Linked DNA regions of Rhinolophus ferrumequinum. The protein of the gene in region 1 purifies or fractionates together with the protein of each later gene. This does not show direct contact. Links are inferred from orthologs where the notes say so. Each region holds a gene or a part of one and is shown on either strand. Other genes may lie near its edges.

Region 1 (7,971 bases):
GAAAATTTATTTTTTAAAAACCGTAACTTTGGTTTACAGTACTGTATACAAAGCAGCCCAATTATATATAAATTTGGTTGTACAGACACAAATCAAGTTGGAGCTAACCATATAGTTAACTGTCTAAACAACACTGTACTCTGTTGAGCACAAAATTGGCCTAATAGGCCTGATTAAGACACTCTACCCCATAAAGCAGTGTTCTATTCCCCAATAAAGTAACTGACAGTAAAATTATACCAGGTAATAAATAGTTTCAAAGAACTAAGGCATTTGCCAGTTGGGCATCTAATCATCTGAAAAGAACAACTGAAGTAAGATCGTCTTTGTCTACTACTAATACGTAAGCATATCTACATCTGGGTCTGAATGATAGGTTCATCTAGACATCTTTCCTCTTTTAACTGATTCTAACAATTCCTAACTACCTTAAACCTTCAAAGCTATGGATTTTATGCTTTGGGTTTCACATAACTTTAAAAGCACAGTGCAATTTGCCAATGCACATCCAGCACACTTCTGGAGAATTGTGAAACTTATCTGCAAGTGAAGCAGGCCTCTTCTTCTGTAATCTCTCAAACCATCTGGAATATATTGCATTTATTATGAAAGAGACATCTATATCACAGATGCCCCACCATTACAAAGTGTACTTTTGTTTAAAAATTGTCTTTAATATCTTTTCCAAATAGTACCTATCCCAAATTCTAGCATGCACATGGATCTACCAACAAAAAAACTAAGCTTTCAGTGTGTGAACATAAACTTCAAATTAGTTAAACATCTGATGCTTAATGCCCATGTATCAATTACCAACAGATTTTCTTCATCAATGTCTGGAGACCACATTCATGATTTCTATAAGACAGAAATAAAGCAGATAAACTATACTGTATGTTGAATACAGAATTTGAGGGAACAAAATGCTGCAAATGCAAGCTACAGATACTCTGTATAGTTAGAAAAATTTGATAACTACACAAAAATCACCAAGGTACCAGCTACAATCATGAAAGTAATTGTGTCAATTGAAAATAAATTTCATTAATCTCCCATTTTTATGGGAGACCATGTCTAGTACCATCAGATCTGCTATTTTGATTTTCACAAATGTTTGACTAGCCTTTCCAAGTAGTCGTCTAAGGTAAATCAAATAAAAATGGCTAATCAGCTCTTTCTGGCAGTAGCTTTCTGAAGATTTTGTCTGGATAATCCTTGAATACTTACCTCCAACTTTGCACCATTATTTGTTACAGCTGTCCCACGGCTTGTTTCTTTAGATACAAGAACAGTTCTGAGACTAGGAGGCAATTCAAAGTTGGTTGTTCCTAAGGCTTTTGCTGCATTGGCTTTTGCTATTTCTAACAGCTCCATTCGATCTACAAAAGAAACACAAGATATTCATTAATCCTGTACTATCTCCCCAAAAGGACTCAGGAATCACAAAATAAGCTCGTGTTTTATTTAGAATAGCAAAAGAAAGATGTTTACCCTTCTTTCTGTTCCATGATCTTATCCAGTATACCACAATACTGGATAAAATACTGCAACAAAATCCTTTTTAGTAATACAATGTTAATTTTTTTAAAAGCAGTGTTTTGATTCTCTTCTTCCCGTTCAATAGTCATCTTAGCAGAGCTTAAGGCTAGTCAACAAGTCACTTAACATTTAGAAGACTCCACTAAGAACTGCCAGCCACCAGGAGAAAAAGTTACCTCCACCCTGAGCCATCTAACACCTACAGCTTAATCCCAAAGGGGGAAGAAATGGTGTCCATGTGAACACTGGGTGTCAACTACAGTGCAGTGTTAACTATTAGTTTTAAGTCCTCCCTTTCCTCCCAAAATATTGAAATTTCAGGCACCAAACAAAACAAAAACATTGTAACTACACAGCAACTTTGGTTCCCTCGCCGGCTCATACTACCGCCACACGCATAAAAAGGTGCCCAAGGAGAAGTCACCTGCGCCTCGACCCCAAACGCTCACCTTTTTCACTTAAGCGAAATGGGGTTGGGCTCCGTGACCGCGTCCTGGATCTCCCGCGCCCACTCCTGTGCTCCTCCGGGTACACCGTGCGACCAAAGCCGTAGTAGCGTCGGCCCCGCGTTACGGCGTAGGCCCTTCGGGAATACGACCGTCCCCGAGAGCGGGACCGGCTGCGGGATCGGTCTGGCGAGGGAGAGCGGTAGTACCTCCGCGAGGAAGGGTAGTGCCTCTCCCAGTACCCGCGGCGGCTGCGGGATGGCGAGCGGCTCCGCGAGTACGACCGCGAGTAGCGCCTGTACTTCCTCTGGTGGCGCCTTCGGGAACGAGACCTGGACCTCCCGGACCTGCTCCGGCGCCGGGGCCGGCTCCGACTCCTGGACGACCACTGACTGGAGACGCCGGAACTGGATCGCGAGCTTCTCGAGTGGCTCCGCGTCACGGAGGACAGCCGGCTGGACCGGCCCGACGTCGACCGGGCCTCCTGCGGCGACCCCGGCCACATGTCGTTCACGTAGTTGGACATAACGGACTCCGGTGTGGCGCTTCCTTGTTTTGGAGGCTCCTTCCGGAACAGTCTGTTCCTAAGAACAAACAAGTGGGGGAGGGGAATGAAGTTCCGGAAGCCGCGCGGGAGAAGGCGGGGAAGCCCGGGGAAAGGAACGAGCCTCGCCTGATCCTAGTGCTGCCGACGCCAGACGCCGAGCTTTCCGCCCCACCGGCCCCACTTTGTTCGCCACACAGGGCCCCGCACTTTCCCTGCCACCCACGCTGAGGTTTCCGCGGGTCCGACCCCGTCACCAGAATATTTACCACAGGTCGCCGACGCCTCACTTATGACGAAGAGAAAGGCCCAACGGACGCCTTCCTCCACAGCTGAGGACGAAGCGGGGCTTTGGGGCAGCTACTCTCCAGCAGCAATGTCACACACGACACCTCCGACGTCCCGACGCGGAATGAGCTGGGCGTCGGCCGACGCATCGAAAGTACCAGAAGCTGAAGTACGGAGTATGCGCAGAAGCGGTGGTGCAATGGGCGTGGCCTCCTCTCCCTGCCCCCACGCCCCGCCCCTGGCCTCCCGCAAAGGCCTCCTGGAGGCCCTTGTACGACCCAGCCTTTGGCGGGAAGTGTGTGGAGGGGGCTGGGGGAGGAGGGAAGGTGGTGCTGCTCCATCCGGGTATTTGGCGGCCCGTGGTGGCTTTGTTTTGGAACCCTAGGGTGAGGAGATCCTGCGCGGAGTGACGCCGGGATCCAGAACTCTCTACCCAGCTAATGCTGACTGCGTCGTTGCCTCCACCTCTGGGAAGCTGCAGGCCGGGCTGTGTCTCCCTGGACGTTTCCTGGCCACTGCCTCCGGACCAGGGTCAGGCCGGCCGCGGGGTGGGGGGCGACCGCTTCCGGATCCTTCCCGGCGTCACAGGATTCCTGAAAATGCAATATTAACTTAGAAAAGCTTTTTACTTCCATGTTTTGTCTAGTCAGTGTAAGATAGGTAGAGAAAGAATGCAAAGACACCCTTAGGTGACCTTTAATCAAAGGGGTCGATGATGTCCGAGATATCATTCTGAGTTCACTGTGCTTCATGTTGGGGATTAAACAACCGTGACTATTTCCAAGGATTTATAAACAGGATACATTCCAAACATACTTGTTGCTAATTAAAGCATGACAATTCCCTTGAAATCACTTTTTATTGAATCAACTAACCATCTGTGGGGAGAGTGAGAGTCAGTCATTACATTGCAATCAAGGGTGGCATTTTTACAAAAGCCACTTTACTTGGAGATACAAACTCATTTTTCTCTTGTTCACCTTCACCCCCACATTCCCAAAAATACACAGAAGTGGAGGGAATAAAAAACCTTATCATGGAATCCACCCACCGGTGTTAGCAGTCTTGCTTGGCACTGTCCACAGTATCATCCACTTCTCTGAGGAAAACATGATGGAAATAAGTGAAGAAATGTTTCTTTAGAAACAAAGTGCTATCACAAGTAAACTGAGAAGACAGTGCCCATCTGCCAGGAATTTTTTCTGAAAGTTCTCATGAAGCTGTGTAAATGGACCGAAAAATAAAATGAGTTTCAGATTTGACAAGTGTAAAAATGGTGTGTTGGGGGAAATAATGTGAAATTATATAAAATGATGCAATCTTGCTTGAGCTCTTGGTATGAATAAGGAAAAAGTGGTAGGAATCTGTAGATAGATTATAGTATGAGTCAAATATGTGCCTCAAATATGGTGACTAGAAAAAGTACTGAAAACACAACAGGAAACGTTATTTTGCTCTCGTGCAGAATACTGGTGTTTTTTTGTCTCCAGAATATGTGCAATCTACTTGAGTTAAAGTCTACAAGGGATGTCAGTGATCCCTTGTTTTTCTAAACAGTACAGTCTTCTCTGAGCATCTATCCACTCGCCCAATTCCAAATCATCATTAAAGCATCTTGCACAGAATTTGTAGGCTAATTTAGGCAGAAATGACATCTTTACAATACCACATCTTCCCATCCAAGAATGTGACACTTTTCTCTAAATTTTTTTATGTCCTTCACTGTGGTAGGCAGATTAATAGCCCCCAAAGGTGTCCATACCCTAATTCCCAGAACCTGAGATTATGTTACCTTAAAAAACAAAAGGAATTTTACAGTGACTAAAATTAAGGAACTTGGGATGAGATTATCCTGATTGGGTAGGCCCAATCTAATCACAAAAGACACTCAAAGCATGAGAATTCCTTGCCCTGTTGCTGCCTTTGAAATGTTGGGAGCTTTCTGCAAAGACCTGAGAGAGCCGGCTAGGAGCTAAGGATGGCTCCCAGGTGACAATCACAAAGAAAATATCTCAGTCCTCATAGAACTGAAACACCTGGTTGAGCAAGTTGTTGTTGATTCTCCCCTAGGCCTCCAAGAAGAGTCCAGTCCATCTGGCATCCCTGCTGACTCCTTGACTTTAGCCCAGTAAGACTTCTCACCTACAGAACTGTAAGATAATAGATTTGGGTTGATGTAAGCCACTAAGTTTGCGGTTATTTGTTACTGAAGCAATAGGAAACTAATACATTCACTAAAATTTTATAGCTTTTATCATTCACATCTTACACTTGCTAGGTGTATTCTGAAATATTTTGATGGTATTTGTGGATTGTGAATAGGATCCTTCTTGTTATATGCTCACGTGGTTTTATGTGTTTTATATGCACAACACCTAGCTGAATTTTACACCCAATATGAAAGATTTTTTTCATTTGATAGGTAAATTCAATCCATTTACATTCATTGGAGTAACTACAATGTTGTACAATGTTGATCTTATCTCTTCCATTGGTGTCTATTATTTGTTTTACTTTGCTTTCTTCACTTTTTCTGTTTTATTTTGCCAGCCTGATCAAGTATCTCTTTTTCACTCCCTCCCACTATTCATTTAGAGGTTCTGCAATGATTCATCATGCCAATAATCGCTTAATGGTTATCTCTTTCTCTCTACCAAACATATTTAAACCTGTTCCTTCCCCATCGCCTGTATCTCCTTCCACAAATATTTATAGAGTGTTTATTATATTAGATTCTGTTGGGTAGATCAAGAAAAGTGTTTTAGTCCTTTTCTCTACACGCATCTCGTGAGTCCACCCCCTTGAATAGTACTTTGTGGCACATTGGATTACCTTCATTTGCTGACCTCAATCCACCAGGCTAGTTTAGAGACATGACCTCTTGGGAAGCTTTGCTTAGATATCATACCTTATAACATTTGCAGCTTTTCTAGGAACTAAAGTCACATGCTGCTTTAAGTACTGGTACTTTTACTGTTACATGATTAAGTCTCAAAAATGTAATCACTGGGTTAAAGGATCTGTGTGAGTTAATATATTGCCATATTGCTGTCTAAAAAGGTTGTATCAACAATGTAGGAGAAAGCCTTTCTGATCACCTAAACTGGTTCATTCCCCATTAAAGTTAGTCCTATTTTCCTGTGCCTCATATTTTCAACATTTATCTCAATTGTAGTAATTAAATTTTATTTCAATTAAAAATTAATTCATTTTGTAATGTATCATTTTCCTGCTAGGATATAAATTACATAGGATAGGCATTGTTTTGTTGTACCTTAGCATTCCTGAGAGTGCATTGCATATGCTAGGCACTCAGATGTGTTTACGGAATAAACAAATGAAAATAGTGAGACAGGTTAGTTAGAATGTTGTTAGGTAGACAGGGAAGTCCCAGGACAAAGGTATAAGAATGTGCCTTGAGGTTAATAAATTATCTCATAATTCTCTTATAGCCAAAGGAGCAGATCTGATAGATAGGAATGGGTTGTTAATCCCTTTAGGGTGGGCAAACAGGACAAACCTGATAGACGAATGCCATTAGAAGGCGCCAGCCCCATTCTCCAAGCAGGCAAGGGAAGATATAAAAACCAGAGCTTTTGTCCCATGTTGGGCAACCCAGTCGGGACCCCGTCTCATTCCAAGAGCTGTGACTCTTTACTCTTCACTTTTAATAAACTATCCTCTTGTACAACTCCTCACCTCTCCTTGGTCCGTGCTTCCATTCTTCGGTTTCATGGGACACCATCCCAGCACAAAGAAAATACTCTACATCAATGGAATCTGAAACAAGTCTTGAAGGACAGGCAAAGGGAAAGGAAAGAAGATTTTAGAGAAGAACAAAGGCCTTAGCAAAATCCTAGACATATAAATGCCCATTTTACAATTTGGGGACGGACAGAAAACCAGCTTGGCTACAGCAAAGAGTTTGGGGTGGGGAATTTTGGAAGACAAAGCTGGATACATAGAGCCGGGGCAGACTGTGGTGAGCCACGAATGTAATTATCTGCTTATCAAGGAGCAAGGTCCTACCTAGTTTGTCAGTAATATGAATCTACCTTTCAAAAGCTGACTGGATACACGGACATGGTAGATAGCTTTACTTAACTGAATTCGAGGGAAGAGAACACTTGCTGGACTTGGGGTGTGGGGCTAAAAAAATAATAATACTTTTCCTTCCACTTTCTAAGCTCTTCTAGCTGGGCTAATAATCAAATTAACAGAGGCGGAGTAACAGGAGAACTCGGGGAATTCACATAAGCATGAAAATTCCAAAGACTGTGAGGTAAAATTGGGTACATATATTATGTTGTTACTTTCAACAAAGGAGAAAAGGCAGGTAGGGGTCTGAGATTTCAAAGGAAGTAGGCAATTTACAGGTCGTTGAGGAAGAGCAGTACATGGCAAGTAAATTTCTGCTAGGCAACCCAGAAACAACAGACGCAGGAGTAATCTAGTAAACAGGCCCCAGCTTGAGGCCCTCCCATCCATCACACTCAATTCAAATTAGGCTGCTAAAGCGAACATCCTAACATTTCCTTCCTGATGTAGGTCTTTCCATCTGAATCTCTTAGGCAGGAAAGGGGGGTGGGTCAAAGTTTATTTCTGAGTCTTTTCTTTTCCTTTCCTTTTCTTTTTTTTTTAAAGGATCTCACTGTGACCTGTACAGAGATCAAACTGGCAACCTTGGTGTTGTTAGCATCACGTGCTAACCAACTGAGCTAACCAGCCACCCCATTTCTGAGTCTTTTCTTAATAACCAGCTAAAAAATCAATATTCCAACGTCAAAACTTTTGGTCTTTTTCAGGGGAATAGTGCTCAAAAGGCATTCAACTTTAACATATGCTCTTCTTAAACAGACACCTAAAACAGTCAACTATACTACAAAAAAAGCATAATCTCACACCTTATTATGCATTATAGAATACAGTGATAGAATACTGCCCAAAATGAACACCTTAAGCTTCCTTTTACAACTTCCAGAATCCTTTGTTATGAGGACAAATTTATTTACTGAAGAAAAATTAAACTCTTTAGTTTTCCTTGACATTCTGCTAAAAAGATTTTCATTAAAAGCACAGGAAACAAGGGCATAAGTGACACTGACAAGAGTGGTTACTGGGAATGGCAACCAGATTGGAGTTGGCTTAAGAGAA
Region 2 (7,995 bases), on another chromosome or scaffold:
CACTTTCTCAATAATGTCGACCAGCTGCTGGTTGCTTTTTAGCATCCCATTGGGCATCACAAACACCTTGGTTCCTGGCAGGGACATGAAGAAGGCCAAATGATTGGGGTGGGGGGCAGGACATAGCACCCCCCGACCTTTCTTTCTCCCCAGGCCCATGAGATGCCATGACCTCTGCCTTTTATCTGTCACAACCCTATCTACAAACCATGACACCACCAACAGAATCAAAAAGAGAAAACGTATGGATTAACAAATGAATGTCTCAAGTATGCTCAAAGTCTGAAGAATAAGGAAATTAAAATATGCTCTAAAGACTTAATGTGCCAACTATTAAATTGAAAAGGAAAAAAATAACACAAACTGGGACTTCTGTGAAAAATCTGCAACGTGTAGCCACCCTCAACCTCTCTTCTTTGGCAGTTCAAGGTCAAACCCTCCGTTTACCGGAAAATTAGATTGAGAGTGCTAAATCATGACCATGTTTGGAAGACTCGGGAATGGGATCTCTGGGAAATAAAATCAGATCCTGCTTCCAGGCCAGGAGAACACCAGCTCCATCCTGCTTCTCAAAGCTGCAAGCCAGGGAGTGGGTGGGGTGAGGCAGGATGGCTCTTACCTTGCAAGGCCTCTTCACACTCATCCAACCTTCGCTTCTTGTAAGTGGGCTAAGGATGTAAAGAGACAGGAATTAGGCTGCTCGCAACACTTACATGCCTATCACAAGTTACTCTTCAAGCAAGTTTAATCCTTTCTGTGACGCCACAGTTATTAATTTAGGTACAACTTACTAAGCATATACAAGGCTTTAAGAAAAGGTTCTTGCCGCAAAGCAACTTACGTTCTCACTGGTAAAACCAACCTTTCAAGAAATATTACCATATTAAGAAATTAGAGGAGATGGGTGGATACTATAAACAATAGGAAAAAATAACTAGTCAATGTAGGGTAAATAAAATTAAGGGAATATGTACAAATCTGCTGGTTCCACAAGGAAACATAATAATCAACGAACACGTATTTAGCCCCTGCTATGTACTAGGAACAATGCTAAGTGCTGGGGATACAAAGATGATTAAGTCAGTTTCTGCTTTCCAGAATTGCAAGTCCTACCAGTGAGACAAAAATGCAGACAAAGAACAATACAGTGTCATCGGTGTTACAGAATGTGGACATATAACTAACTGATAAAGACTAGGCACTAAAGATGTACAGTAAAGATAGTGACTACAGTTATACACCAAAAAAAACTACTGATCCCATAACAAGACTCAAGACATTGAAACAGATACAAAGTCTTGCTTAGAGCCATGAGGACAGACCAGATAACCTGAGGGAACCGGTAGCTATCAGTCCTACTTGAAACTCACGCTAACACAGAGTAGCATTAGCAAATTCACCCCATGCTATAAATGAAAATCAGGGTCTAAAGGGGGTGTATTGGAGTCATCATGTCTGTGAAAGTCCTCATTCCCAGATCCAAATCCCACTGTCTCCTTTGTACATGTTCAAACTGACCAAGAAATAGAGGACAGAAAATCTATTGCTTCAGAACACAAAGATAAATATAGGACACTTACACCGTCCAGTCCATCATGGCTATTGGTGAGAAGAATGGGGTCAGGGACGGGGAGATTCATATCTGAGTGGATCTGAGTTAGGTCATGGATGTTTAGGATTTGTTCCTAAAAGAGAGAAGCCCACCCCCCAAAAAAAACATTAGTCTTTTCAAGATGAACAAAGAACGTGAAGGGCAAGAAATGAGAGAGCTTTACAGTACAAAGCAAACAGAATCAATACATGATTTGTCCCATTTGACAGAAGGACCAGGGCCAAAATAATTGGGGAATCTGCAGAAAAGAAAAAGGTCTCTCACCTTCAAAAAACTATCAAGTTCTAACAACTTCTTTGGGAAAAAATTTGCCACCAAGTCTTCTGCCTAAAGATGAGGGAAAATACATTAATAATTGTGGGATGGTCTCTCTCTAGTCATCTCTCCTTTGGGAAACTCCCAATTATTCTATTTATTTCACTCACCTCACTTGTGATCCGCTCCCTGAAAGAATCAACCTAAAATTAACAAAGAGCAATTCAGTAACAGAAAGTCGGTACCTGGCAAGAGGTATGGGCTGGGTAGGGAAACCCAAATCTAGCTGTCTTTCCCTCACCTTGTTATTGTAATGAGAAGCTGCGAGGCCCCCAGATTGCAAATACTTTATTTTTTTGAGGACCCATTTCTCCATCTCAGGAGAGGGAAGCAGGGCTTGAGGTCAACACCTGCCGGTCTTCCCTCCCTCCCTCCCTGTGTCTGAGGCTGTCTGAGTTTGAGAGCAGACAAAAGACAAGTAGATAGGGGAGGTGTGAACTCATAAACGTGCCAACCCCCATCCAGCCCCAGCCTATGACATGATGTAGGACTGACGCCAATGGCAGGGGCAGCGGCGGCCTCCGGAGGCGGGGATGTTGCGGGCTGGGAACATCCAGCTGTCACTAGCATAAAGCACTGAGTCGACCACGTGTCTGCGGAAGTCTCCCCGGGGCTCTCCATCACCAAACGAGGTACTGAGGGCCACCCTATATTATCCTCTCCCCCGAAGCCATCTCGGGAGTGGGGGGCTGGGCTGAGCCTAGCGGAAGCTCAGAGCTGGTGTCCCCAGAGAGACAAAGACGCCACGGGGTGTGGGGAGCCGGTCAGATTGCTCGGGGATCGAAGCAAGGGGTACGGAGGCCCAGACCGGTGCCGCTACCTTGAGCTTTACTTCCTGATCCACCTTCAGCAGCGAGGCCATGGCCGGGCCGGGCCGTGTCCGCTCCGCTGGAGACCGGAGGCGCTGTGGGCTCCGGGGAGGGGGTCAGAGAGACGGGAGGAATCTCGGCTGCTCTTGGGACGCGTCCGCCCTCGCTGGCTCACTCACTGTTCGCTCGCTCCCCCCCTCTGCCGTCTGCCCGCCTGCCTGGGGCCAGCTGCCTGCTGCCTGCTCCCTCTTGCTCGCCCTCCCGGCTTTCGCTGCTCACGACGGAAGTTACGTCACAGCCAATAGCCGGGACTCCGGGGAGGATGCGCACGTGCTCTGCGCAGCCGCGCTGAAGGTAGGTGCTGGACTCTCCCGCCCGGCTTACATCTCCCGGGATCTTGTGCCTGGTAAGGGGGCAGTAAGAGGAAGGGTGGTGGAGACTGATTTACTGAGAATTGAGTCTCAGAGAGACTCGGGAACTGTTTGACTCTCCGTTAGCCCGGCACTCGTCTTCATCGAAGAGACCTTAGCCGCTGCCTCTTCGAGGGCAGGACCGACGACGCCGTCGCGCCCCAGTGACGTCAGACCCAGGAAGCCGGCGGTCCCGGCGCTGGCTTCGCGGGGTCTCGCCTGTGATTCCTGCTGCCGCCTCTCGTTAGCCTTAGCTCTAGTGTTAGGCTAGGCTAGAGCCAAGCAGAAGACGAGCTGTGTTGTACCAGGCTTCCCCACCTTCCTCCGCCACTTATTCTCATACACTTTCAGACCTCTGAAATCAACTGCCTCGTGAGCAAATTGACACCCGGAGTCGTGTAGGCTACACAGTGATTCCAGTAAATCCTGGACCAGATACCCTGGTCTCCTGACTTCTAGGACAATCCTGTATCCATTTTCCTAGAGGAAGGCAGAAACTCTGTCTCTTCACTCACCCATTCATTCGGTCTGTCTCTTAACATTGATTACTCCGCTCAATAAAATGGGCCAGGACACTGCTAGGCTCTGGGACAATACTGCCTTAGAGTCTAGAAATTTAACGTGAGTCACTTATGTAAGTTAAAATTTTCTAGGAACCACACTAAAAAGTAAACAAGTGAAATTAATTGTAATCATGTTTAATCCAATTTATCCAAATATCATTTCAAGGTGTAATCAACATAAAACTATTAATGAGATAATGTACATTCTTTTTTGATACTGAGTCTTTTGAAATCTGGTATGAATTTTATACTTCATTGCGCATCTCAATTCAGAAGTGCCACATTTGCAGTACTGAATAGCCATATGTGACTAGTGCCTTGTGTATTGAACAGCACAGCTCTGGGAAATCAAAGGTAAACAAAACTCAAGTTCTCCGGTCTCATGGGGCTTAATCCTGGGGAAGGACACCAGAAAGTAAACTGACGACATAATTACAAAATTTGGTAAGCGTTAGGAAACAAATGACTGATGTAGAAAATATACCAGGGGTCTATTTTAGATAGAATGGCCAAGGAAGGCCTCTCAGATGAAGTGACAATGATGCTGAGGTCTAAAGGATATAAAGGGGTTAGCGTGGGAAGAGTGAGCGGATGAGCCTTCAAGGGTATATGTGCAGCACAGGCAAATACTTGAAAAGGGTCCTATTGAAGAAATGGAAAAACTAGTGAACTTGGGATAGTAGGGAGAAGGGGGTGGGGAGGGTTATTAGGAAACAATTGGGATTAAGTGCAAAGGCAGGTCAGGTCATCTGATTTACATTTTGGGGTCACCGTTGCTGCCGAACATTTATCCTGGGCAGGCCTCTGTGCTAAGTGCCAGGGAAATGGTGGGAATACATAGTTAAATGAAGTGCAACTGACTATGTCCTTTGGGATCCGAGAGACATGGCTTCAAATCCCACCTCAGCTCTTTACTAATTGTGATGGCTTGGTAAAATTACTGAAATGCTGAGTGTCAGTTCCCTCATCTGTCAAGTGGAATTTCAATCATTAATAAATAATGTGTAATTCTTTAAGGTTGTCGTGTTGGAAATCATACATATGTAAAAGAACTAGTGCAGTACCAGGACACAAGGCAGGTACTAGATACATAGTAGCCATTATCAGATAAGTTACCTGTTAATGCTTAGCATGAAGAGGTTACCCCTTAAACTATATAATTATCATCCCTGCTTTCAGACTCAAAAGTGCTTTTCCAGTTGTTCAAGGCTACATACAACATAGCCATTATTACCTATGTGGCTTATTAACATCTAACGTTTTCCCCTTTTTCCTCTTTTTTCTATAACACTTGTCCCTAGTAATTTTTAAATTCTGATCTGGAACCTCAGGAATGCTTTCCCAAATTAACTTCACCCTATTTTAAGTATGCCATTATCCTGCATTTCTTTCAGCATTAATAACTTCAACTTGAAAACTTACTGTTTGTGCTTGTTGAAATATGGCTTTGTTCTCAGATAATTGTGTTTTGTCTTCTTCAAGTAGGTTGTAATAAGACACACATTCCTTCTCTCTTTCCCTACCTCCTCCCTTATCCAAATGTTTTATATAATACTCTACTCGTTTGTTTATTTATTCAGTTGAATAAACAATTGCTGAAGGCACCGCTATATGTAACAAATTCTGTTCATTTCTGGGTACTTATGAATCAAACGTGATCACTGAGAACTGGTCTCACTTTAAATTCATGTCCACAAATCTCAAATGGGTGCACAACACTACCCGAGATCCTACTACATGCCTCTGACAAGTTTACTCTTCCGCACTCTGAATGTCTATCATAACTTCTCATCGCCCTAAACCTCCAATAGCCCTCCTCTCCCACCTCCAATTTATGGTCTTGACTTATTCTTCACTGAGAAAACAGAAGCAAATGAGCACTGCATTTCACCACCAAATCTGCCAGCCTGCAAATGCTTTCTGCCTTTCCTCCTCTCGTTGAAGGAAACATCCCATTCCCATCAAAAAAACCAACTCTTCATTTTGTGCGTTGGAACACATCCCCTTTCACTTTCTCAAGATCTGTGCTTCAGTGATTACCCATTTTTCCTGTATTACATTTATCTCTGTCAACTGGACCTCATCCAAACATGATAAATATCTCCCATCTTGAGAAAAACCCTCCCTTGAACACAGATTCCTCTCGCTATCACTCTGTTTCTGTGCTCTGCTTTATGGCAAGACTTCTTGAATGATACTATTGTCTCATGCTACTTCCTCATCTCCCATTTACTCCACTCCAATCAGGCGTTCCCATTCCATGTTATCACTGAGATAGTTCTGGTTAGGTTACCAATGACTTCCATATTGACAGCACCAGGGGTCACTTCTCCATCTTTCTTGAATCTTTCAGTACTCAACACCTGTAGGCTGGTGGTCCTAAATTTATTTCTCCATTCCTTACATCTAACAGCTCCAGTTGTCTACTTGACATCTCTACTTGGATAGCTAATGGGCATCTCAAACTTAATATGGCCAAAACAGAATTCTCAGTTCTCCCACATACCTCTTTCTTTCCTGCTCTTTCCCATCTCAGTAACTGACATGACTGTCCACCTAGTTACTCAGACATCTAATTATCAACCTTGATTCCTCTCTTTTCCTCATCTCCCCACATTCAACCATTAGCAGTTCCTGTGAGCTTTACCTGTATAATGAATCCTGTATGAGTATGCTTTTCTCCATCTCCTCACTTGTTATCCTACTCAAAGCCATTGTCATCCTTTGCTAACACTATTACAATGGACAATCGAGTCTCCATTTTCACTCTTGCCACCACCCCCACTGATACATTCTATTCTCTGCTCACACCCAAATTATCTTTTAATATGTCAACCATAGTTATGGTAGTATCTACTAAAACAATAAATATATAGATACATATTTCTATATATATATGTGACTCAGAAATCCGAACTCTAGAAACATACCCAACAGAAATGCATAAATATATTCACCAAGAACACAAACAAGAATGTTAATAACACCACTATTCACAATAGCCTCAACTGACAACTGTCGACGAGGGTTGTGGGGAGCGAGGAGGGTGGCGCAGGGTTAAGAAAAGACTAGCCATGAATAGAGTGTAAGTGTGGCCAAGGAACTCCAGCCTCAAGGACTGGGCCCCGAATGGGGCAAACGCCTAGTTTTTATTACTTAGGTGGGGAAGTAAAGGAGATAAAGCTTGTCAATCTCAAGATCTGTGAATCCCACACATCACAGCAGGAAACTGATTCAAGCCAATCACCCCTGCCTGCAGGCAGCTGAACTTTAAGTCTCAGGAAGTATGTACTTCCCCAAGGGACAAAATCTTTATGCATATGAATAGATGGAGAGCACACCATTGAATCTCTTCCCTTGCAGGTTGTGGGAAGGAATGCAGCCACAGAGGCAGAGGCTCTCCGTGGGGGGGGGGGGGGGGTAGGGGATGTGCCCTCCTCTATGAACCCCGTGGGTTCTCCTGTTGGTCCCCACTCGACTGCGCCTGGCTTCAGTTGTCCGCCCCCCGCACCCCCCCCATGGGGAATCTTACTCATCATTGGCTGACGAGCCATCTTTTTGGGGCCAAACAGGGAGACATAAGGTGCAAGCACAAAGGTGAAGCAAAGTCCCTGAAAGGATCTGGCTCACAGACTCTCCTTTCTTTAGGGGCAGGTACATGGGGACAGACGGGTAGGCTGCTGTGTGGCAACAGGCAACTACTCAAATGTCTCTCAAGAGTAGGATAGATAACTAAATTTTAATGTATTCACACAACGGAATACTGCATAGTATTGAGAATAGATGAACTAAAACTATACACAAGATGGAGGAATCACAATACTGAATAAAAGGAGGAGGTTGGGGAGCTGGGTGAAAAAGGTGAAGGGATTAAGAAGAACAAATTGGTAGTTACTAACTAGTCACGGGGATGTAAAGTACAACATAGGGAATACAGCCAATAATATTGTAGTAACTATGTATAGTGCCAGGTGGGTACTAGACTTAGCAAGGGGATCACTTCATAAATTATATAAAGGTTTAACCACTGTGCTGTACACCTGAAATGAATACAAAATATTGAATATCAACTGTGATTGAAAAATAAAATTTTAAAAATAAACCATAAAAGTACATACTCTATGGTTCCATTTACATGATGTTCAAAACATTCTATGGTGTTAGAATTGAGGAAATTATTTACCCTTGTGGTGAGCAGCAACTGGAAGGGGCCATAGGGCAGGACAGTTGAGCGCTGGTTATATGGGTGTGTTCATTTGTGAAAATTCACTGAGCTGTACACTTAG

What was found.
Region 2: the proteins of RSRP1 (region 1) and PSME3 purify together in Homo sapiens (affinity purification with mass spectrometry; 3 studies listed by BioGRID and IntAct, counting the BioPlex papers as one, with this or other methods). This does not show direct contact. The link is inferred for Rhinolophus ferrumequinum from reciprocal best matches to the Homo sapiens genes RSRP1 and PSME3.

Annotation. Positions count from the first base shown.
Region 1 is NC_046292.1:17,297,681-17,305,651, forward strand, and holds the start of RSRP1 (arginine/serine-rich protein 1), read right to left. Parts: upstream 3,002-7,971; 5' UTR 2,799-3,001; intron 2,570-2,798; 5' UTR 2,512-2,569; coding exon 1,989-2,511; intron 1,380-1,988; coding exon 1,228-1,379; intron 1-1,227.
Region 2 is NC_046304.1:38,471,473-38,479,467, reverse strand, and holds the start of PSME3 (proteasome activator complex subunit 3), read right to left. Parts: upstream 3,018-7,995; 5' UTR 2,790-3,017; coding exon 2,748-2,789; intron 2,071-2,747; coding exon 2,038-2,070; intron 1,940-2,037; coding exon 1,877-1,939; intron 1,686-1,876; coding exon 1,581-1,685; intron 669-1,580; coding exon 620-668; intron 75-619; coding exon 1-74. UniProt on the Homo sapiens protein: Subunit of the 11S REG-gamma (also called PA28-gamma) proteasome regulator, a doughnut-shaped homoheptamer which associates with the proteasome. 11S REG-gamma activates the trypsin-like catalytic subunit of the proteasome but inhibits the chymotrypsin-like and postglutamyl-preferring (PGPH) subunits.